Saccharomyces cerevisiae S288C: one gene and its partners. The gene in region 2 interacts genetically with the main gene of each other region. Each region holds a gene or a part of one and is shown on either strand. Other genes may lie near its edges.

Region 1 (6,061 bases), on a different chromosome or scaffold from region 2:
GTCCACACTTCAAGCAAGCTAACAACTTTTTGTGGCCATTCAAGTTGTCCAACCCATCTGGTGGTTGGGGTGTCCCAAGAAAGTTCAAGCACTTTATCCAAGGTGGTTCTTTCGGTAACCGTGAAGAATTCATCAACAAATTGGTTAAGTCCATGAACTAAACTGGTTGAAGTCACATTACATATAACTACTTATTTTATCTAAGTCCTATATAGTTCTGTTATTCACTAGTTTGTATATTGTACCTCTAATTTATCTTATAATTTCGTCAGTAATGACTTATAATTGGCTTTATTTTCTTCTCTTTTTTTTCACATGCGCAGAACCTATATAACGAAAAAAAAAAAAATGAAAACTGAAGATAAGCGGCCTTGACTTCTCTAAACTGCCGATATTTCAACGAAAGTTAGCCAACTTATTTATAAAAGCCTTGAATACCAACAATTGGAAAGAAGGTGTCTGTGCTTATCATATATAGCTTGCATAAAGAAAAATTATAATATCTTCGAACTTCCATAGAAAGAATATCTTTCAGTGTTAACTGGCTCATTTACTCAGAAATTAGTATTTTGAAGAACGATGAGTATTCGGAATGATAATGCTTCCGGTGGCTATATGCAGCCGGATCAATCTTCGAACGCTTCTATGCACAAAAGAGACTTAAGAGTTGAGGAGGAAATAAAGCCATTGGATGATATGGATAGCAAGGGTGCTGTAGCAGCAGATGGTGAAGTTCATCTAAGAAAGTCATTTTCGTTGTGGTCAATTCTTGGTGTTGGATTCGGTTTGACTAATTCCTGGTTCGGTATTTCTACATCGATGGTTGCAGGTATATCTTCTGGTGGACCCATGATGATTGTTTACGGTATAATTATTGTTGCCCTGATTTCTATTTGCATTGGTACCTCGTTGGGTGAATTATCTTCCGCATATCCGCACGCCGGTGGTCAGTTTTGGTGGTCTTTGAAGCTTGCCCCTCCTAAGTACAAAAGATTTGCGGCCTACATGTGCGGTTCATTTGCTTACGCAGGATCCGTGTTCACAAGTGCTTCAACTACGTTATCCGTTGCTACCGAAGTGGTTGGTATGTACGCTCTGACGCACCCTGAATTCATCCCAAAGAGATGGCATATATTCGTTTGCTTTGAATTGTTGCATTTGTTCTTGATGTTTTTCAACTGTTACGGTAAATCCTTACCTATCATTTCATCTTCCTCTCTATACATTTCCCTACTATCCTTTTTCACAATTACAATTACTGTATTGGCATGTTCTCATGGAAAGTTCAACGATGCAAAGTTTGTTTTTGCCACATTTAATAATGAAACAGGTTGGAAGAACGGCGGTATCGCCTTTATTGTCGGTTTGATTAACCCAGCTTGGTCATTTTCGTGCCTTGACTGTGCAACCCATATGGCGTTTGAAGTTGAAAAACCAGAAAGAGTTATTCCCATTGCTATCATGGGAACAGTCGCCATTGGGTTTGTCACTTCCTTTTGTTATGTTATCGCTATGTTCTTCTCTATACAAGATCTGGACGCTGTCTTGTCTTCTACAACAGGCGCCCCAATCTTGGACATTTATAATCAGGCATTGGGTAATAAATCAGGTGCGATTTTCCTGGGTTGCTTGATTCTATTTACCTCTTTTGGTTGCGTCATTGCTTGTCACACTTGGCAGGCAAGGTTATGTTGGTCATTTGCCAGGGACAATGGTCTTCCATTATCCCGTTTATGGTCGCAAGTTAACCCACACACTGGTGTACCTTTGAACGCTCATTTAATGTCATGCGCTTGGATAACCCTCATTGGCCTACTTTATTTGGCTTCCAGTACGGCTTTTCAGTCCTTAATTACAGGTTGTATTGCATTTTTATTGTTATCCTACATCATTCCGGTTATATGTTTACTTGCTAAAAAGCGTAACATAGCTCATGGTCCATTCTGGCTTGGAAAATTTGGATTTTTTTCAAACATTGTTCTTTTGGGTTGGACTGTCTTTTCTGTGGTCTTTTTTTCCTTTCCACCAGTTTTACCTGTGACAAAGGATAACATGAACTATGTTTGTGTAGTTATTGTTGGTTATACTGCGTATTCGATTCTTTACTGGAAATACAAGGGTAAGAAGGAATTCCACGCTTTAGAAGAATCTGAGAACGAACAGGCTGAATATAGTAATAACTTCGATACCATTGAAGATAGTCGAGAATTTTCCGTTGCGGCCTCTGACGTTGAACTCGAAAATGAACACGTACCGTGGGGAAAGAAGTGAATTTATAGTGTTGATCAGTCGACCGTTATTTATTTTAAGTATATTATTTGCATAGAAGTAATAAAAGTGAATTTTTTTTAATGGTTTGTTAAGCCATTTTAGACGAGGGACTAAGATATTTCAACCTAAATATCCCTCAGGCTTTGCGCTCTTGAAAGCGATGTGACTGTAATTCAAATTTCTTGAAATATTTTTGCGGGAAAAAGATGAAAAATTTTTCACCTCATCGCATAAGAAGCAAATAAAAAAAAAATATTAATAATAGATAGGCAACAATATAGCAGCTCAGAGATATAGCTTAACTTCATTTTACAGCCTTTTAACGAAAGCATAAGTATTAACAGTTTGATATATAGGGGATTAAAATGACAAAGGAAGAAATCGCAGACAAGAAGAGAAAGGTTGTAGATGAGGAGGTAATTGAAAAAAAGAAGAGTAAGAAACACAAAAAGGATAAGAAAGACAAGAAGGAAAAGAAGGATAAAAAGCATAAAAAGCATAAGAAGGAGAAGAAGGGTGAGAAGGAAGTGGAAGTACCAGAGAAAGAATCTGAAAAGAAACCTGAACCTACTTCTGCAGTGGCTAGTGAGTTTTATGTTCAGAGTGAAGCACTAACCAGTCTTCCACAATCTGATATTGACGAATATTTCAAGGAAAATGAAATTGCTGTTGAGGATTCTCTGGATCTAGCCCTACGTCCGCTATTATCATTTGATTATCTTTCTTTAGACTCTTCCATTCAAGCAGAAATTTCCAAATTTCCAAAACCAACGCCTATTCAAGCCGTAGCCTGGCCATATTTGTTATCTGGTAAAGATGTTGTTGGTGTTGCTGAGACCGGTTCTGGTAAAACATTTGCTTTCGGTGTTCCAGCTATCAGCCATTTAATGAACGATCAAAAGAAAAGGGGCATACAGGTTCTAGTCATTTCCCCAACTAGAGAACTTGCTTCCCAAATTTATGATAATCTGATTGTATTAACTGACAAGGTTGGTATGCAGTGTTGTTGTGTTTATGGTGGTGTTCCAAAGGATGAGCAAAGAATTCAGTTAAAAAAGTCACAAGTGGTGGTTGCTACACCTGGTAGATTATTAGACCTATTGCAGGAAGGATCTGTTGACTTATCTCAAGTTAATTACTTAGTATTAGACGAGGCAGACAGAATGTTGGAAAAAGGTTTTGAAGAAGACATCAAGAATATTATCAGAGAAACTGATGCGTCCAAAAGACAAACTCTAATGTTTACCGCTACCTGGCCAAAGGAAGTCCGTGAATTAGCTTCCACGTTCATGAACAACCCAATCAAAGTATCTATTGGTAACACGGACCAACTAACTGCTAACAAAAGAATTACACAGATTGTTGAAGTGGTGGACCCACGTGGAAAAGAAAGAAAGTTATTGGAACTGTTGAAAAAGTACCACTCTGGTCCAAAAAAGAATGAAAAGGTCTTGATTTTTGCTCTTTATAAGAAGGAAGCTGCTCGTGTTGAAAGGAATTTGAAATATAACGGGTATAACGTCGCAGCTATCCATGGTGATTTGTCCCAGCAACAAAGAACGCAAGCATTGAATGAGTTCAAAAGCGGGAAGTCTAACTTGTTACTGGCCACCGACGTTGCAGCAAGAGGTTTAGATATACCAAATGTTAAGACAGTTATTAATTTAACTTTCCCATTGACTGTGGAGGATTATGTCCATAGAATCGGTAGAACTGGTAGAGCTGGTCAAACAGGCACAGCACACACTCTGTTCACTGAACAAGAAAAGCATTTGGCTGGTGGACTGGTTAACGTTTTGAATGGTGCCAATCAACCTGTTCCTGAAGATTTGATAAAGTTCGGTACTCACACTAAGAAGAAGGAACATAGCGCTTATGGTTCATTCTTTAAGGACGTCGATTTGACTAAGAAACCAAAAAAAATTACTTTCGATTAGGGGTTTTTTCGTTTACTTCAATCTTGGATTTTCTTCTCTAATAATAGCCAATCGAGAGTCGGAGATTTATTAACAAAACACTGTATATTACTATTATAACTGCCCACTTTCATTTATCATTAATATTATTTAAATTGACTCTCACATAGTATACATATTTTCTAGAAAAAAAATACGATTCAGTATATCAGCAGTCATGGTCTTCATTCAATCTGCGCTCAAGAATTTTTTCTCTTGCCTGATTAAACTCTATGGGGAAATCGACACGCAAAGCAGCGTTTAAATAGTCGATGTTCTTTCTTGAAGTTTCTAAATCACGTTTTATTTTTTTTGAAGTAGCCTCACCATTTTCAAACTTCTCTTGCAGTTGAGTGAGCCTGCTCTTCATTTCATCAATATATTGTTTAAGCTCTAGGCTTTTCGAATTTATAACAGCGGAGGTTTTGGTCTGTAGAGAAAGTGCCTCTGAGAAATCAGCAGAATCAATAGATTGTTTTAGAGAATCAAAAATATATCTAGAAACGTCAAATATTGGACCAGGATCCTGGGCATCCGTGGGTAGCAAATTGCTTGACTGAGGGATATCGTTATCTAGGAACAAATCTTCGTCAACGTTAGATTCATTGTCCATTTCATTTTGCTCCACAACATCTGAAACGTTACTTCCATCACTATCGAAGCTACCACTTGAGTTGCTAGTGGTGCTGATCGAATCATGGAAAGAGCTGGACATTTCCTCTGTTATAGGAATCGCGTAGGATTGAGAATTAATACTGGGTGTTGAAGAATGAACAGCCGAAAAAGTCTCTTCATCATCATTTTCCTCCGATATTCCGGTCACCATTGTTCTTCACTAAGTGTTGGTAACCATTATTTTGCCTCTCTTATTATTTTACTATAATATAGCTGCGACTTTTCAGTGAAAAACGTTCTTTTTTAACTTTTTGAATGGCTGAATATAATCAGTAATACAAAGGAGATGAGAGGGAAATTGTCTTGGATATAAAAGAAATATTTGAATAAAGACATAATAATTATTTAGGTTATTTAGAATATGTCATCTTATGTAGTTTGGTTCAATACTAACTACTAAATAAAATGAAACTCATAGAGATAATGGTTCTATAGCATGCATATATGAAAAGGAGAAGAGGTAAAAATGAGAGAATATGCATGAACATATCCATCCTCTTAATCCTTGCTTGTTCTTTTTTATGTTTCCATCTAGTCACCTACTTCAGGTTCTTAGACTGCTCGTTTTACTGTTTACCAGTTTTTTCTTTCTCTTTCCATTCCTTATCTAGAGCTTTCTTCTCCTCATCTGTTGTGAAATACGTGTATTTGAGAAACCTATAGCCTTGAGCTAATTGCGCAGTTTCATTAATAAGGTGGCATCCAAACAGTAAGTAGTTTTTGGGTGATACTGAAAGAGCATACTTCATGAAAACACCTGAATAGGTAACTAAAGCAAAAGTCATTGGGCCAGAGATTAGTGTAGGGTCTTTTTTCAGATCATATATAGCAGCAATTGGGATACCGAAATTTGATACGGGACCCCAGAAGTGTGTTGTGAAAATATATTTCAAAGTTTCTTTATTGATGTATTTTTGAAGGAATGAGCGTGCTGCAGCGCGTTGAACCGGTTGAGACATTCTTTTTGATCACAGTGCAATAAAATCTATACGTATATATGTAGATGTATTGACGTTTGCTGATTGGCAAGTGAGTGTTTAAATAGATTATCGGTGGAGAAAGGTGGAGACCGCAGGTTGTAGTGGCTATTCCTTCTTTGCCAGAAAGCACTTGTCATTTCGCCTCGGTTAAAGCGGGGGGCCGTCGCAAAAGAGAACTTT
Region 2 (5,395 bases):
TGACGTATAGGGGAGATGCACACCCCCACCCCCGCATCACACCCAGTCTTCTAGCCAATTATGTTGGTAATTTTAAGGGTTTCGCCATGTGGCATGCCACCGGCAAAATAATACACGTGCCCGTACGGCACCAAACGGGCATGCATTTTTGCATTTGAAAAAGTTTGCTGCCCTTCATGTGCTTTTATGTATGCATACACATACACATTCGTGCATACATTCATTTATATATATATAGAGTGTGCATCGTGCATATGATTATTCATTACCACTTTTTTTGTTTTTGATTTTGTTCGTCAAAAGGAAGAGAAAAGGCATATCGAAGGGTGTAATGACAAAAGCTTATACTATCGTTATCAAGCTGGGCAGTTCGTCGCTCGTCGACGAGAGCACAAAAGAGCCAAAGTTGTCCATCATGACGTTAATCGTCGAGACCGTGACGAATCTTAAGCGCATGGGCCACAAAGTGATCATCGTATCCAGCGGCGGCATTGCCGTTGGTTTGGACGCTCTCAACATTCCGCACAAGCCTAAGCAGTTGTCTGAAGTGCAAGCGATTGCCGCTGTCGGACAAGGCCGTCTCATCGCGCGCTGGAACATGCTGTTTTCCCAGTATGGCGAGCAAACAGCGCAGATCCTGCTCACGCGTAACGATATACTGCGTTGGAACCAGTACAATAACGCACGCAATACAATCAACGAACTGCTGGCCATGGGTGTCATCCCTATAGTCAACGAAAACGATACGCTATCCATTAGCGAGATCGAGTTCGGCGATAACGACACGCTTTCTGCCATTACCGCTGCTCTTGTAGGGGCGGATTTCCTGTTCTTGCTCACAGATGTGGACTGCCTATATACAGACAATCCGCGCACTAATCCGGATGCTCGTCCTATTGTTCTCGTGCCAGAGCTATCAGAGGGCCTTCCGGGCGTCAACACTTCCAGTGGTTCAGGCTCCGAGGTTGGCACGGGCGGAATGCGCACCAAACTCATAGCCGCCGACCTCGCCTCTAATGCCGGTATCGAGACTATTGTGATGAAGAGCGACCGTCCAGAGTACGTCCCGAAGATCGTTGACTACATTCAGCATCACTTCCGCCCTCCGCGCCATATCGGAAACGGCACACAGCAGCAGTTTCTCGATCTTCAGGATACGGAGCTCGAACAGTTGCGTCGCTACGATGTTCCCATGCACACCAAGTTCTTAGCTAATGACAACAAACACAAGCTTAAGAACAGGGAATTTTGGATTCTGCACGGGCTCATTACCAAGGGCGCCATTATCATCGACGAGAACAGCTATGATAAACTTTTGTCAAAGGATATGGCTAGTCTGACTCCAAACGCCGTGATCGAAGTCCGAGACAACTTCCACGAACTTGAATGCGTTGATCTCAAAATAGGCCAGCGGTTACCCAATGGCGAATTGGATATCTCGAAGCCGATTCAGTCTGTTGGATGCGTCCGCTCCAATTATACGAGTCTGGAGCTTGCGAAGATCAAGGGCTTACCCAGTGAGAAGATTCACGATGTTTTGGGCTACAGTGTGAGTGAATACGTAGCACATAGAGAAAACATCGCTTTCCCTCCGCAATTTTGAGAATATTCCCTTTTTTTTACCGGATTAAAAAAAAAAAAAAAAATTCTGTTATAGATGCACATCATATCTCTCTCCTTTTTCCCGCTTTTATATATTCGTTCGTATTAGTCACAACAAAAACCAAAAGAATACTCGAAATGTTAGTTTATATATATATATATAGTGTGCGTTCTTTGCGGATATGGAAAATCTTGATATCTGCTGCATTCACGACTATGTCGCGCGGCAAAGGTATGCTCAGCTTACCGTTAATGTATAAAATATTCTCTGCGAAGTTGTAGCTCGGAGAGAACCGGTCCGGCTTCGAGTTCGGAGCTTTGTTCTCAATAAGAATTCGCAGCTTGTAGGCGGCCCCTTTGAACCTCTTCATCTTTACCTCGTATTCCGGCACGTCCTCCTGCTGCTCGTGCGGTGCAGGTGCAGGTGCAGGTGCCTGTTTCAGGTTTCTGTGAGCAATCTCGTTCTTATCAATCTCCTCTATCTTGGCTCCGGAGATTTTGTTCTCGATAGGGAACAATGGTGGTAGTGTTCCATCGTCGGGATCATTATTATCATCGCCATCGTCATTCCTTCCTCTCAATATACTCATCGGGTCTCCGGCCTCCTCTTCTATGATTTTATGCATTTTTGCCTTGTAATCTTGATGTAACTCATCATTCAATACCTCTAGTGCAGGAAGCTCAGCGCCCTTCTTCTTCATCTTGGGGAATGCAATGCGATCTCTGCACAATACCACCGAATCTCGGATCTCACATGACTCCAAGCACCATTCGACCAGTATCTCTCGCAGTTGGATATCATCGCATATCCAGCGCGAGCAATCGCTATTTATGCAGCAATCCCACACATAGCACTCCTGCCCCTTCTTGTCATGGTCCATGCGGTAGCAGGATGTAATAATAGGAATCTCCCATTCGTTTTGGATGATGAGCGGGAACACTATCCTTGCATTAAAATCGACCTCAGGTTTGGGCACTAACGGAGAGTGACAAACATTGATGAACACCTTCCTGCCATCTTGCAGTTTTTCCGGCCCATTAGCGGATAATAGTTTTGTCTTAATTACAAAATCTGCGATGGGCTCAATTTTAGACACCGATCCGTCTGCAGCGTCCACCGACACGTACTTGTCCTCGTTTCTATGACGTTGCTTAATTGGTCTCAATAAGAAATCGGCCATCGGTTAAGGTCTGTTTGTTCGCTTTGAAAAGTCTGTTCCCTGTATTCCTTTTTCTTCCATGCATATGAATTCAAGAATTCCTAGTTTTTTTCTATCATTATTGTCTTCTGATTTTTTTTAAGGAAAAAAAATATCAAGAGTAAAAATAGTGATCAGGTACTGAATCCTGTATTTGTACAATACTGCAATCTAGCACCAAATTTGGCCAAGGAAGTGCCTATGTGTTCTCCAACTAATTTCTTATATGAGCCCTTTTCCAGCGATGCTGTGACGCAGAACTATGACCAAAATCTAAAATGCACCAAATGTGGCGCCTATTATTCGATGGCTTGTTCCCTACGAGAACAGAATGTTTGGACTTGTCTATTCTGCAACCAATCAAACTCAAATGCTGAATTGCCACTGGTACCTTCCAACACCTATACATTGACTTCTGCAAAGAAAGAAATACTTTCAAGACGGACCATTATGATTATAGACGCTATTTGCGATCCTCATGAGCTAAATTATTTAGTTTCCATTCTATGTAATAATTACATCACAAGACAACAAGAGCCACTATCAATAATTACTATTCAGCAATCAGGTCATGTGATTTTACACAATGCTGTGAATCACAGACGTGATGCTGTATTTTCAATAAATGAATTTATGACCAAATATAATCTTGATAAATTAAATGCCAGTTACTTCGAGAAAAAAATTTCAGAAATCAATCAAGAATCATACTGGTTTGATAAATCTACTCAGGGTTCTTTAAGAAAATTGCTACGGGAAATATGCAAGATTGCAAACAAAGTGAATATCAGTTCTAAAAGGGACAAGCGTTGCACCGGATTAGCGCTGTTCGTTTCATCCGTACTGGCGTCTCAGTGCAGTTTGTCAGCCTACTGTCATATAGTTTCATTCCTGAATGGTCCATGTACTAAGGGTGGCGGCAAAGTTATGTCAAGAGAACGTGGTGAAAGCATGAGACAAAACCACCATTTTGAATCCAAAAGTTCACAATTGCAACTATCAAAAAGTCCGACAAAATTTTACAAGAAAATGCTTGAAAAATTTGCAAACCAATCGTTAATCTATGAATTCTTTATAGCTTCATTGGATCAAATCGGTATACTCGAAATGAGTCCATTAATAACTTCGTCAATGGCAGTTTCTCAGTTTGATTCATTCAATGATGAGAGATTCGCAATGTCTTTTCAAAAGTACCTGAACTTGCGTGACCATAATGCCATTTACAATTGTCATTCAAAGATAATGACCGCAAAGAACGCTATTGTCGTTAAGGACTTCCCAAAATATAGCTTAAACCCTAAAAACCTTTCTCTACCATTAGAAATCTCACTAGGTCACAATTCAGCTGAAGCTCCTATACAGTTTCAAACCACTTTTGAAAATCAAACGGAAAAATACATAAGAATTGAAACCCTCTTATTGCCAAAAGCCAATAGATCATTTGGGGCACAAAATGAAATTGTGTTTTCAATGAAAAAGATAGCCTCACGAATTATCGATAGCTTTGCTTACTCATCCAAGCACACTAAAGAATTGATGAAGCAATTGTTTCTATTACCAAATCAAATCCGGGGAAAAGACGTAGATATGGTCAATCTGATACAGTGGTGTTATCATATATATAGGTCTCCAATTCTATCGGTTCGGAATACTTCACCTGATGAAAGGTACCTTTTTCTTCACCGAATAATAAACGCTTCTAAAGACACATGCCTTTCATTATGCAAACCCTTCATCTGGAGTTACAGTGATTTGAAACACGACTGGATCGTGTTGGATGTCCCATTAACAAGAGCCCAGATACTTCAAGATGATAAAACCACCATTTGTGTAGATGGTGGCTCGTACTTAGTTTTAAGAAGGGGAAAACTTTTGGAAAAAGAAGGTCGCGAGCTCTGTTGCAAGCTTTTAAATGACTTGCAAAGGTTTCCGCAGCCATTATATGTTGAAACTAAAACCGGTGGCAGTCAGGACCGTTTCTTGAAAAGCAAAATTATTCCCTTGGACATCACTGACAAGGAAACTCTTGGTACAGAGGATATGACATTCAATGAATATTTCAACTTGTTCACCGATCTAAGTGGAAGCAAATAACTCGCTAAATATTCTTGCTGCACTTTGCGACGCCTGTATTGGCGAAAACAAAAAGTAAAGAAAAAAAAACTTTAGATGAAATAGAGCAAAATTCCCTAAGACAATAGAAGATACAAAAGCAAGTTGGGCCCTTAATTTCATCAAAGGTATAGCATCTCATCAAATAGTCGCTTGTTTATCGCAATACTTGCTTATTGAGTAGTTGTATTATAACGTTATATAGGATCTTCCATATGGAAAGTTTTGAAAATTTGAGCATAAGAGACAGTTTCACTAGCGGAATGGAACACGTTGACGAGGAGTTAGGAGGCCTCTCCGACCTAAGTATATCTAAGCAGGGGCCAACTTTGTCACCACAGCTTATCAACCGATTTATGCCCCATTTTCCCTCGAGCCCATCACCTCTGCGAAATACATTGGATTTTAGTGCTGCTAAAGCTGATGAGGAAGAAGATGACCGAATGGAAATAGATGAGGTTGATGATACAAGTTTTGAAGAA
Region 3 (5,546 bases), on a different chromosome or scaffold from region 2:
TCTACTATGTAGGGGCCAAGTGCTTGATAACGATATGACTTTAAATACCGTTAGAACACTTTACTGGAAATCTCAGGGTGACATAGTTCTAGAATACAGAAGAAAAGTACATAATTCACCGCTAGTTCATGAGGTCAACGGGAATGAGGGGAAATGATAATGTTTATTTAAATTATATTTTGGGGTCTGAATTTGGAGTTTTTAAGCGTAAATATATAGTAACAATACCAACAATAATACTAATAATACTATAATAGTAGTTGCAGTAACAATGACAAGATAAAGAATATTCTTCTGAAATGTCTAAAGAACGAAGAAAAAAGCAAGTACTCATTGGAATGCTATGTGTAACAACTCATACATACTCTAGAGCTTTATAATAATTACATAGACATTTTTATAATATTATTTATTTATCAAATTTTATATTGAATAGGTACCATCAAGTTATGCACACATTCTTCATTAAAATACAGTCTGTAAATAATTGTGAATATGGGCGACCTGAATGATGTTCTTATTATCTCAAATATTTCTAATTTTTTTTAATCATTTTTGTTTCTTTAAGAGCAATTAATTTACAGAGCGGGGAACAGTGGCCAATTTTTTGAGCTAAAGAACAGCATAACAACAAAACAACAGAAAAAAAACACAGCGAGTCTAGTGCAAGTACGTCGGCAAAGTAAAACACAAAGGAGATGAAATTGCACGGCTTTTTATTTTCCGTATTATCAACATGCGTCGTCATTTTACCAGCGTTGGCCTACAGTGAAGCTGTCACGATGGTCAAGTCGATTGAGCAGTACTTCGATATCTGCAATAGGAATGATTCTTACACAATGATAAAATACTACACTTCTTGGTGCCAACATTGTAAAACTCTGGCCCCAGTATACGAAGAGCTTGGTGAGCTATACGCCAAAAAAGCTAATAAAGATGATACCCCAATTAACTTCCTTGAAGTTAACTGTGAATTCTTCGGGCCAACTTTATGTACCGACTTGCCTGGATTTCCAATAATTGAACTGGTCAAACCTCGTACTAAGCCCTTAGTTCTTCCGAAGCTCGATTGGTCGTCTATGAAATTTCATGAAAGACTATGGCAAAGAATCAAGACGTGGTTCAACAATCCTAAGTACCAACTGGATACGTCTAGGGTTGTTCGTTTTGAAGGGAGTAGGAACCTAAAGAGTTTAAGCAACTTTATCGATACTGTAAGAAGTAAAGATACAGAAGAAAGATTCATAGAACATATTTTCGATGATTCTAGGAATTGCAATGAAGAATTACGTTCTCAACAGCTTCTGTGTAAAGCTGGTAAAGAATACTACTCTGATACTTTATCTAAATTATACGGTGACGTGAATGGGCTGGAAAAGGAAAGGCGAAGACTAGAAGCTTTAATTAAGCAAAATGGAGATGACTTGAGTAAAGAAGTTAAAGAAAAACTGAAAATCATTCGTCTACAATTGAGCCTATTATCACACATAGAAGACCAGTTAGAAGATACCAGTAGTCATGACGAGCTTTGAACATAAGCTTCGCTCTGTCTTTTACTTTACGAATACCGACTACAGACGGAAGCGGGACCCTCACCCTGAGGTACAACAAATACACAGATACATATATATTTAACAATGTACGTTAGCCGCAATATAAGTGAGATTGTGTAGGTGAAAGATTATGGAGATATACATAAATATTACAGAAGGTCTACCACATGTGTTTTGAATATTGGCTTGTGCTAAGGTAACACTGTTATTTTATTCATTAGAGAAACATCTCTTACCCTGTTTGGTTTTGGTATAATCTCCAATTACGTACATGAAAGATGGCTTTATATAAAAAGCCTTTAATTCGAAAAAAGAATAAATGTCTTAGGGAGCTTATTATCGTACTTTAATTCAACTTAGGAAATCAGCACTCTCCACTCCAAATCTTCGGTTTGAAATAATGGAAAATCAAGGTGGAGATTACAGCCCAAATGGGTTTTCAAACTCAGCAAGCAATATGAATGCGGTTTTTAACAATGAAATCACCGGTAGAAGTGACATTTCAAATGTAAACCATCAAACTGGTACCCCACGTCTGGTTCCTGAAACTCAAATATGGTCGATGCCTGTGCCAGATCAACTGATGACGATGCCTAACAGAGAAAACACCCTTATGACAGGTAGTACAATAGGTCCAAATATCCCCATGAATGTGGCTTATCCCAATACAATATACTCGCCAACAGAGCATCAGTCGCAATTTCAGACACAACAGAACCGTGACATCAGCACGATGATGGAACACACTAACAGTAATGATATGAGCGGCTCTGGTAAAAATCTCAAGAAACGTGTATCAAAGGCCTGTGACCATTGCCGAAAAAGAAAAATCAGATGTGATGAAGTGGACCAGCAGACCAAAAAATGTTCAAACTGTATTAAGTTTCAGTTGCCTTGCACTTTCAAACATCGTGATGAGATTCTTAAGAAGAAAAGAAAATTAGAAATCAAACATCATGCAACACCAGGGGAATCACTTCAAACCTCAAATAGTATTAGCAATCCTGTAGCGTCTTCTTCAGTACCGAACAGTGGAAGGTTTGAACTTTTAAACGGTAATTCCCCCTTAGAAAGCAATATCATCGATAAAGTCTCCAATATTCAAAATAATCTTAACAAAAAAATGAATTCAAAGATTGAAAAATTGGATAGAAAAATGTCTTACATTATTGACAGTGTGGCTAGACTTGAGTGGTTATTGGACAAGGCTGTTAAAAAGCAGGAAGGCAAATACAAGGAAAAGAACAATTTGCCCAAACCAGCGAGAAAAATATACTCTACGGCACTTTTAACTGCTCAAAAACTCTATTGGTTCAAACAAAGTTTAGGAGTGAAAGCGTCCAATGAGGAGTTTCTTTCTCCAATCAGCGAAATATTAAGCATATCTTTAAAATGGTATGCAACTCAAATGAAAAAATTTATGGATTTGTCATCTCCGGCTTTCTTCTCCAGCGAAATAATATTATACTCATTACCTCCGAAAAAGCAAGCAAAGAGACTTCTTGAGAATTTTCATGCTACCTTATTATCCTCTGTAACTGGTATAATATCGTTAAAAGAATGTCTAGACTTAGCAGAAAAGTACTACAGCGAAAGCGGCGAAAAACTCACATATCCTGAACATTTATTATTAAACGTGTGTCTCTGCTCGGGTGCATCTGCCACTCAATCAATTATAAGAGGTGATTCAAAGTTTCTAAGGAAAGATAGATATGATCCAACCTCCCAAGAGTTAAAAAAAATCGAAAACGTTGCCTTACTAAATGCCATGTATTATTATCATAAGCTGTCCACCATCTGTTCAGGTACAAGAACACTACAAGCTTTATTACTACTGAACCGATATTTTCAACTTACCTACGATACTGAACTAGCAAATTGTATTTTAGGAACCGCGATTAGATTGGCGGTTGACATGGAATTAAATAGAAAATCCTCTTACAAGTCACTAGACTTTGAAGAAGCCATAAGGAGAAGAAGAATGTGGTGGCATTGTTTTTGTACAGATAAACTATATTCTTTAATGTTATCCAGACCCCCTATTGTGGGGGAACGCGATATGGATATGCTAACAGATCAAAATTATTATGAAGTGATAAAAACTAATATTCTACCTGATCTTATTGATAAAAAGGAAGATCTCGATAAAATTACTGATGTCAACTCTGCATTGAATGTAGTTGTAAATTTTTGTCAGCACATATCCCTTTTCATATCATATTATGTTTCAAAATTGGTTAGTATTGAGAGTAAAATATACTCTACTTGTTTTGCTGTCAGAAGTACTCTAGATCTTTCATTCGATGCCATGCTTGATAAAATCAAAGATCTCAATGATTCTTTGAACAATTGGAGAGACAACTTGCACGTAAGTATGAAACTAAAAAGTTATAAACAGTATTTATCGGTACTTTACGCTCAAAAATCCCAAGAAAATCCGGCTTTAAGTTTTGAGATTGCATGCTCTCGTGTTTTGAATTGTCATTTTAGGGCGCTATATTCTAAAGTGATTTTGAGCATGATGACTACATCCTTATTGATTGATAACGAACGCCTATACAAAGGTTCTCGCCATGATATTCCTCAGCTATTCATTCTTTTTTCAAGTCAATACTTAAACGCCAGTAAAGAAATGTTACAGCTGTTTCAAGGCATCAATTACCAGGCGCATATGTATAACGAGGTTATGTATCAGTTCTCTACTGCTATGTTTGTTCTCTTCTTTTACGTTGTGGATAATATGAACGATCTAAAAAAGAAAGGTGAGGTAAAAGAGATCATCGATATCCTAAAAAAATCTTATGATCGATTAGTGGGAGAAAATGATGAGCAGTTACTGTTTGACAATGTCAAATGGAACACTTTGATTGTGTTCTACAGCCACTTTTTGAAATACGTTTTGCAACGTTATCATGCTTTGAACGATTCTACGTCAATATTTGATTCTAAACCTTATGATGAAACGATAACGAAAGTTATTATGCATTCAAGAAAGATAAAAGATGAAACAGTCGATCAACTAATTATGAGTCTAAAATCATATGGTTCTCTCCATTCTTTACAAAAGGGCAACGAAGCCGATCTCGCCGATGATGGACTGAATACGAATGATATTTCTTCAGAAGACTTTGCGGAGGAAGCACCAATAAACTTATTTGGAGAGTTATCAGTCGAAATTTTAAAACTATTAAAATCTCACTCCCCCATCTCAAATTTTGGAGACCTATCGCCATCTTCAAATAGGAAAGGAATATCTGATGACTCATCTTTGTACCCAATTCGTTCGGACCTAACATCTCTTGTTTATCCCATCCATAGTTCTGATACCGGAGATACTCTTTCCAGTGGTCTAGAGACCCCTGAAAATTCTAATTTTAATAGTGACAGTGGAATAAAGGAAGATTTCGAAGCTTTTAGAGCCTTATTGCCTTTAGGAAAATTGATCTATGACAGAGATTATTCTTTCGTGAACACTTTTAGGGATTATGAATAAACTGTACCTTGTCTACAAAGATTGTAAAAAATAAAAATTCTTTCCCAATGCATATTATATGTACTATTTGTATCTATATATTATCTATCGATTCTCACTTAAGATGTCGTTGTAATATTAATTATAACAACAAGGCTTTTATATATTTCAGGTAATTATCGTTTTCCTTTTCTGGTTCATTTGCTATAGCACGCAATAGCTCTTGTATTTTATGCTGGGAAGCTTCTTCAGTAATTTTGCTTGGGTCATGTAAACCCTCCTCCTTCACTTTTCTAATCCACTCTTTCAGTAAAGCCTTCAAACGAATATTACCTTCGTTAACTTCCTGTAATGATAGCTTAGCTTTTTTCAAATCTTCATTATTAGTTTTTAGATCGTCCAATTCATTGGCTTTACGTTTAGCCATTTTAACAATTTTTTCTGGAAATTGAACAACTTCTGCAACATGAATACCAAAAGACTGATCTGAAATACCAGGCTCAACTTTGTATAACAACGTG
Region 4 (6,732 bases), on a different chromosome or scaffold from region 2:
AGATGTCACATAGATTACACAAGCACCAAAAAGCCTGCTCTTCAGACATAAAGATTAAAAATCCTGCAACAACTATATTCATGGCCTGGCAATATCCAACATCAGGGTTCTTCCACGAATAAGCTGTCAGAACATTTCTCAACCTTTGAATACCTTCTTCAGTCTGGTATGCTGAGTATTCGGGCAGCGATCTCTTCAAATCCTTCTCAATTTCGTCGATAGCTTGCGATGTTTTACCAGCATTCTCGTTTAATATCCTTTCGTACTCCCCAGAATTTGCATAACGCATATACATTGCACCTGAACATAGTTCCCAAATTTCACCTCTCATTCGATTTGGAACACCGATTCTGATTAACTTTCGGAACATAGGAGTTTGCACAACTGCCAAATTCCTTCCATTCTCTCTGAAATAATCGAACCATAGCCTCAATTTAGCCTTTTCTTTTACCATAGTAGGATTACCGGGATACTTGAAATGTTGTCCTAGACCTGCCCTGGGTACAGTTATGTCCTTTTTACCTAGAATATTTTTAGCAATTAAGAACTCCGAATATGAGGTTTCTAGAAAAGCAGGTAAAGTTTTGGCATTAGGAATATTTTCTTTCAAATTTAGTTTCAATTTGTCACAAAACTGCTCCGATCTATAACGTATACCGATAAATTGAATCAGAACCTTTGCTCCTGTGTACAAAGTTACTAGAAGAGCAAATTCATATGATTCGGATGGCGACCTCTCTACACGTTTAATGGTAGAAATATTCAGTATTAGTACGCACGATGAATGATCAAATGCATCTCGAAATACCAGAAAATGAGGTGTTAAAAACAATCTCCCGGAATACACATAAGCAGTTTTTCTCCCTTTATTGTTCACTCTATCAGAATGCCCTTTTCCATCTTTAATGGAAGTTGCAAATGAAACTTCTGCATTCGTATCTTCCAAAATGTTTTCATTAGCTGGAAGTTTATATTTTAATCTGAATTTCTCATCTCTGGTTAATGTTGGAGTGAAACTGTCTGCCAGTTTATCCAAAAAGGGTGCCTTTTGACGTAAAGAATCAAAAAATGACATATCCTATCCTTTAACTAATAATTGTATCAACTCTGAGGTTGTTCGGTGCTTTAATTGATGGATCAGTGCTTTCAAAATGTACAATTTCTTAAATGTTGTTGGGCCCTTACCAAGCAGATTTGTTCAGGCCTTTTCTTATTGAAGTTCTTTTTCCCAGTTGCAGGAGTCGGCCGACCTTCTGAAATAATATGCTGTGCATTAAATACTAACGACGCTGACAGAGAACGCACTAAATTTATTCAAATATGTATCATAAGATTGGTACAAATAACTATGCTACTAACCTTTATTGAGAGAAATTCCTTCCTCTATGGCTGAACTAATTATATGATTCATCAACTCCGTCATGGATTCAAAATCGTGGACCGGGTTAGCGCAAGAGTATATGATACGCAGTGTTGTTAAATAATGCGACTTAAAAAGCTGATTGTATGTGCCTACGTCAATTCCATTAAGCCAACCGTGTGCTAGCGGATAGAAGAATAGACCAGCATATTTTCTAAAGCGGTTTTGCGTTCCTTTTTCTCGATCCTTGCCTAGTTTTCTAGATTTCCATACTGTTTTCGTCTTCTTTATCATACTTGTTGACTCTTGAACTTCAACAAGCCTACTATTATGATGGCTTTGATCATCCCACGGTAAACGATTTGTTGGAAAATCAAACTTGGGCTTGACAATAGTAGGATCATCAAGCCCTCTCAACTCTCTTGCAGAAAGACCCAGAGCCGACAATAGTGACATCCTTTGCTGTAACGACAGTTCTGAATTGAATAGAATATTTATAGCGCCATTCACCTTCTCTGGAAGGACGACCAGTATGCTTGTTAGAGCGTTTATTCTCCACTGCTCGAAAAGCGGTTCATCAAATTCATTATTCAAGCACACAATGCTTGACAGAATACCTTGTGCATAATAGCCAACCTCTAACTGAAAATCCGCCTTTTGCCGTATCAATTTCACTGTTTGCTTCAGAAGTGGTATCAATGGAGCTTTTCGAGATTCCCCAGTTTTTTCGTATTCTTTCATTAAATCTTTTAAAAATACAATTCGTTTAACAATCTCCCGCTCATCGTTCTCATCTTCATCATCGCTATCACTGCAGTCCAATGTAAGGCTTTGAACATGACCCGAGACCTCAGTAATCTTATCCTTACCCACATCAGTTTGGGTATTGCATATGGATGGATTTTTTAAAGATTGGAAATCAATGATTTTATCATCGCTATTGCTTTCGAATTTGACATTCGGTATATTGATTTTAAAATCACTTTCGTACTTCAGATGACCGCCTGATAAAAGCTTGGCAATAAACATCGCACGCTCCCTTGCCTCACGTTCATTGCTACCTAAATGTTTGGTCACGCCATTCAAAAACCGCTCATCGTGTGCTATTTCCTCTCTCTGGGAATGATTGAGATTGTGCACTGCAAAGAGTACAAGCAATTCACATGTCTTTGTGTCTACTTCCTCATCTGTAAAATCAGCAAATTTACTTACCAAAGCGCTAACAAACTTCGTGGAAGAGTGGTTGCTCATCAGACGTACTATCACTTCCTTCAATGGCAGCGACTGTATTTCAAATAATACGGACAGACTTATGATTTTATCGAGATCAAACCGCCGCAGAATTTTCCTAACATCGTTCAAATTTTCTAAAGTCACGATAACTTGAATATATGGTAATAAAAACTTAGCAATCAGCCTCTTTTGATCTATCAGACTACTAGCAGATATGATTTTCTGAAAAGAAAAGAAATACGACTCTTTCAATAAAAATAATTCGCCTAATAACATATCTGCCGCTAGCACTGGGTTAAGCAAAAATGATGAAACTAACCATTCCCCTAAAAACCCAGGTGGATCTGTTTCATTACTCTCAAGTAGAAATTTCCACTGAAGCCGAAGGTATCCCAAATATTTCGCCATATCAATTCGGTTGGCCAACACATTAAATAACTTGCTCCCAAAGAAAAGGGCCTTAATGCTATCACGGTCTGCTTTGCTAGTAGTGCTTGCCTTTAAATAAAAAGTCAAACATCCCGGTTCAAAACTGATGATGTCTTCTAAAATTTCTTGGTATATGCGTATCTCTTGCAGTCCATCGCGGCCACTTATTGTCCTTGAGAAGGTGACAATTTGGCATAAAAATGTAAACGATTTAGAAGCTAGCCGTCTCAATATCACCTTCGATCTTTCTGGTAGTGATGGATAAACTGGAATTACGAATTTTATGAGAACCATCGAGGCATCTAGATCCACCGGTTCGCGAGGATAGGAATCTAGTTGTATTAAAGCTTCATGTATTTGACTGCTGTCAAGCCCTTGTTTCAGCGTTTCTAAAACCATTTCATGAGGAATTAAATGCGTATAAAGTAGCTCGATTCACGTTCTATTAGCGGCAACCTGTCCACAAGTACTTATTGTCTGCATTTCTTGGTGTTTGTTTTTATTTTCTTTCTTTTCAAACTTCACGGGTCTTTACAGAAAAGAGGTAAACAAACAAAAACAAGAACATGGATACAAAGCCCATCCACGTAACATTGCGCATTTGAAGCGAGAAGCTTACCACAATTAGTTAAATTCCTTTTGGAGGAATATAGACACTCTATCATCAGAAACATCCGAATTATTTTAGTTAGGACACGTTTCACAGGAGCATCTGGCTATAGCATATTTTTCTTTTCCTTCTAACTGCGAGCATAGTAAAAAGTTGACCTAAACCCAACATTTTTGAGGCTAACCTAGTAATAATTTAACCTAGGCACGAAGTGCTTATAAATTAAGGAATGATGGTAAAACAGGAGGAACCGCTGAATGAGATTAGTCCGAATACTCCGATGACTAGCAAGTCCTACCTTTTAAACGACACGCTTTCGAAAGTACATCATAGTGGCCAAACTAGACCACTGACCTCGGTGTTGTCTGGAGACGCCTCATCCAATTCTATTGGCATACTAGCAATGCATAATAACATAATACGTGACTTTACAAAAATTGCAAGCAATAACATAGACTTAGCCATTGAGGATATTACCACTGTTGACCATTCATTAAATTCAATATATAGCCTATTGAAGAGCCATCACATGTGGGGCCATATAAACTCCACTGTTAAACAACATTTGATGATAATTGTTAAACTAATAAATAATAACGCATTAGGATTGGCCTCCTCTGAAATTATTTTTCTTTTCAATGAAACGAATTTATTTCAAGCTCATAGTCTGAAAAACATTCTTCTAGCAGACTTCAGTACGTGGAACGACTACTATCTTTCAAATCTGAAAATATTAGCGCTGCAGATTATACTGAAAAGAAAGCTAGTAGACGAATACTTACCGCATATATTAGAACTATTTTCCCATGATAAAAGATATCTTTTGAAAGACCCTAACCTCAAAGCTCACGCTCTCACAAAAATCGTGCTGAGCTTTTTTTCTGTCACGACGAGTTGCAAAGTTCTATTCGGGCTAAAATTTCTACAATATATCAAACAGTTCAAATTACCTTTTAAAAAGTTCATTAGCAACATTACCGTCGAGTGTTTTAGCAAAAACCTTCTTCATAAAAATTATTTGGAGATGGGACCTAATAAAATATATTTAAATTCATTTTACTTATCCTATTCCATGCTGTACGATGGATTGGATAAAATAATGCTTCTAGACATTTTAAGTTACGAAGAAACTACTGAGGTACAAAGAGCGATAAAAAGTAAAAAAGAATTCAATGAATACTGCAACATGAGTGAAAACCGTCTTCTCTGGTCCTGTATATCTGTCGATGATTTGAACGTAATACTCGAAAATGCAACGAATTTTCTACAAAATAAAGGGAAACATATATCCGCAACATTAAAATGTTTAGTCTGTCTTTGGTCTACTATTCGCCTAGAGGGATTACCTAAAAATAAGGATATATTGAGGCAGTTTGATTGTACTGTTATTTATATCAACTCAAATATTAAATCCATTAATGACGAATCTGCGGCGGCATTATTATCCGAACTTCTGGGAGTTTTATCAGAAATTTGTATCGATTATAAAGAGCCTAAACGACTGTCAAATATTATCAGTGTCCTTTTCAATGCTTCTGTTTTATTTAAGAGTCATTCGTTTTTGTTAAAGACTGCTAATTTGGAAATCTCAAATGTTTTAATCAGTAATGATTCAAAAACATCTCATCGTACTATACTGAAATTTGAAAAATTTATATCTAGTGCTCAGAGTGCCCAGAAAAAAATTGAAATCTTTTCCTGTTTGTTCAATGTATATTGCATGCTACGAAATGATACGCTATCATTTGTTTTTGACTTTTGCCAAAATGCATTCATTCATTGCTTTACACGCCTAAAAATCACAAAATTCATCGAGTTTTCAAACAGTTCAGAAATTATGCTTTCAGTACTGTATGGAAATTCATCTATCGAAAACATTCCTTCCGAAAATTGGTCACAACTAAGCAGAATGATATTTTGCTCACTGAGGGGTATCTTTGATTTGGATCCTTTAGAGCTAAATAATACGTTTGATAAATTACACTTGCTCAACAAATATGAGCTATTAATACGAATAGTGTACCTATTGAACCTGGACATGAGTAAACACCTGACAACGAATCTATCGAAAATAACTAAGCTGTACATAAACAAATGGCTACAAAAATCAGATGAAAAGGCCGAGAGAATATCGTCATTTGAAATGGACTTCGTTAAAATGCTATTGTGCTACTTGAACTTTAATAATTTTGATAAGTTATCCATTGAACTTTCACTCTGTATTAAATCAAAAGAAAAGTATTACTCCAGTATTGTGCCTTATGCCGACAATTATTTGCTAGAGGCTTATCTGAGCTTATATATGATTGATGATGCCCTCATGATGAAGAATCAACTACAAAAAACAATGAATTTATCAACGGCGAAAATAGAGCAGGCGTTATTACATGCAAGTTCTTTAATAAATGTCCACTTGTGGGACTCTGACTTGACAGCGTTTCAAATATATTTTGGAAAAACACTGCCTGCTATGAAGCCTGAATTATTTGATATCAATAACGACCACAACCTACCCATGTCACTTTACATCAAAGTCATACTTTTGAACATAAAAATTTTTAATGAAAGCGCGAAATTAAATATTAAAGCTGGTAATGTTATATCCGCAGTAATTGATTGTAGAAAAGCACAAAATTTAGCATTATCGTTGCTCAAAAAGAAGAACAAATTGTCACAAGGATCCAGGCTAGCATTACTAAAAAGTCTATCGTTTAGTTTTTTCCAACTCATTAAAATACATATACGCATTGGTTCTGCCAGAGACTGTGAGTTCTACAGTAAAGAACTGTCTAGAATTATTTCTGACTTAGAGGAACCTATTATCGTCTACAGATGTCTGCATTTTCTTCACAGATACTATATGATTACAGAGCAAACCTGTCTTCAAAATATAACTTTGGGAAAAGCCAATAAGGCATTTGATTATCTTGATGCTGAGGCAGACATTACAAGTTTGACAATGTTTCTGTATGATAATAAGGAATTTGTAAAGTTAGAGCAGTCGTTGGTCCTATATTTCGGTGACCAGCTAGAAAAAACATTCCTACCTAATTTGTGGAAGCTTCACTTGGGTAAGGATATTGACGACAGCATTTGTCTG

What was found.
Region 1: mutations in PIH1 (region 2) and DBP3 together harm fitness more than expected from each alone (negative genetic interaction), as found in Saccharomyces cerevisiae (2 studies listed by BioGRID).
Region 3: mutations in PIH1 (region 2) and HAL9 together harm fitness more than expected from each alone (negative genetic interaction), as found in Saccharomyces cerevisiae (2 studies listed by BioGRID).
Region 4: mutations in PIH1 (region 2) and TEL2 together harm fitness more than expected from each alone (negative genetic interaction), as found in Saccharomyces cerevisiae (2 studies listed by BioGRID).

The regions. Positions count from the first base shown.
Region 1 is NC_001139.9:358,435-364,495, reverse strand, and holds DBP3 (RNA-dependent ATPase DBP3), read left to right. Parts: upstream 1-2,636; coding exon 2,637-4,208; downstream 4,209-6,061. Other genes in the region: 60S ribosomal protein uL30 RPL7A, read left to right, coding at 1-161; HNM1 (Hnm1p), read left to right, coding at 580-2,271; KXD1 (Kxd1p), read right to left, coding at 4,396-5,052; pyruvate transporter MPC1, read right to left, coding at 5,468-5,860. UniProt on the Saccharomyces cerevisiae protein: ATP-dependent RNA helicase required for 60S ribosomal subunit synthesis. Involved in efficient pre-rRNA processing, predominantly at site A3, which is necessary for the normal formation of 25S and 5.8S rRNAs.
Region 2 is NC_001140.6:175,217-180,611, forward strand, and holds PIH1 (Pih1p), read right to left. Parts: upstream 2,784-5,395; coding exon 1,749-2,783; downstream 1-1,748. Other genes in the region: YHR033W (putative glutamate 5-kinase), read left to right, coding at 332-1,603; GTPase-activating protein NEL1, read left to right, coding at 3,003-4,895; BRL1 (Brl1p), read left to right, coding at 5,129-5,395. UniProt on the Saccharomyces cerevisiae protein: Involved in pre-rRNA processing and required for the NOP58-snoRNA interaction.
Region 3 is NC_001147.6:149,898-155,443, reverse strand, and holds HAL9 (Hal9p), read left to right. Parts: upstream 1-1,953; coding exon 1,954-5,046; downstream 5,047-5,546. Other genes in the region: DUF1 (Duf1p), read left to right, coding at 1-157; protein disulfide isomerase MPD2, read left to right, coding at 699-1,532; mismatch repair ATPase MSH2, read right to left, coding at 5,168-5,546. UniProt on the Saccharomyces cerevisiae protein: Putative transcription factor involved in halotolerance.
Region 4 is NC_001139.9:684,588-691,319, reverse strand, and holds TEL2 (Tel2p), read right to left. Parts: upstream 3,422-6,732; coding exon 1,355-3,421; downstream 1-1,354. Other genes in the region: GTPase-activating protein MDR1, read right to left, coding at 1-1,075; ESP1 (separase), read left to right, coding at 3,862-6,732. UniProt on the Saccharomyces cerevisiae protein: Part of the TTT complex that is required to stabilize protein levels of the phosphatidylinositol 3-kinase-related protein kinase (PIKK) family proteins. Required for telomere length regulation and telomere position effect.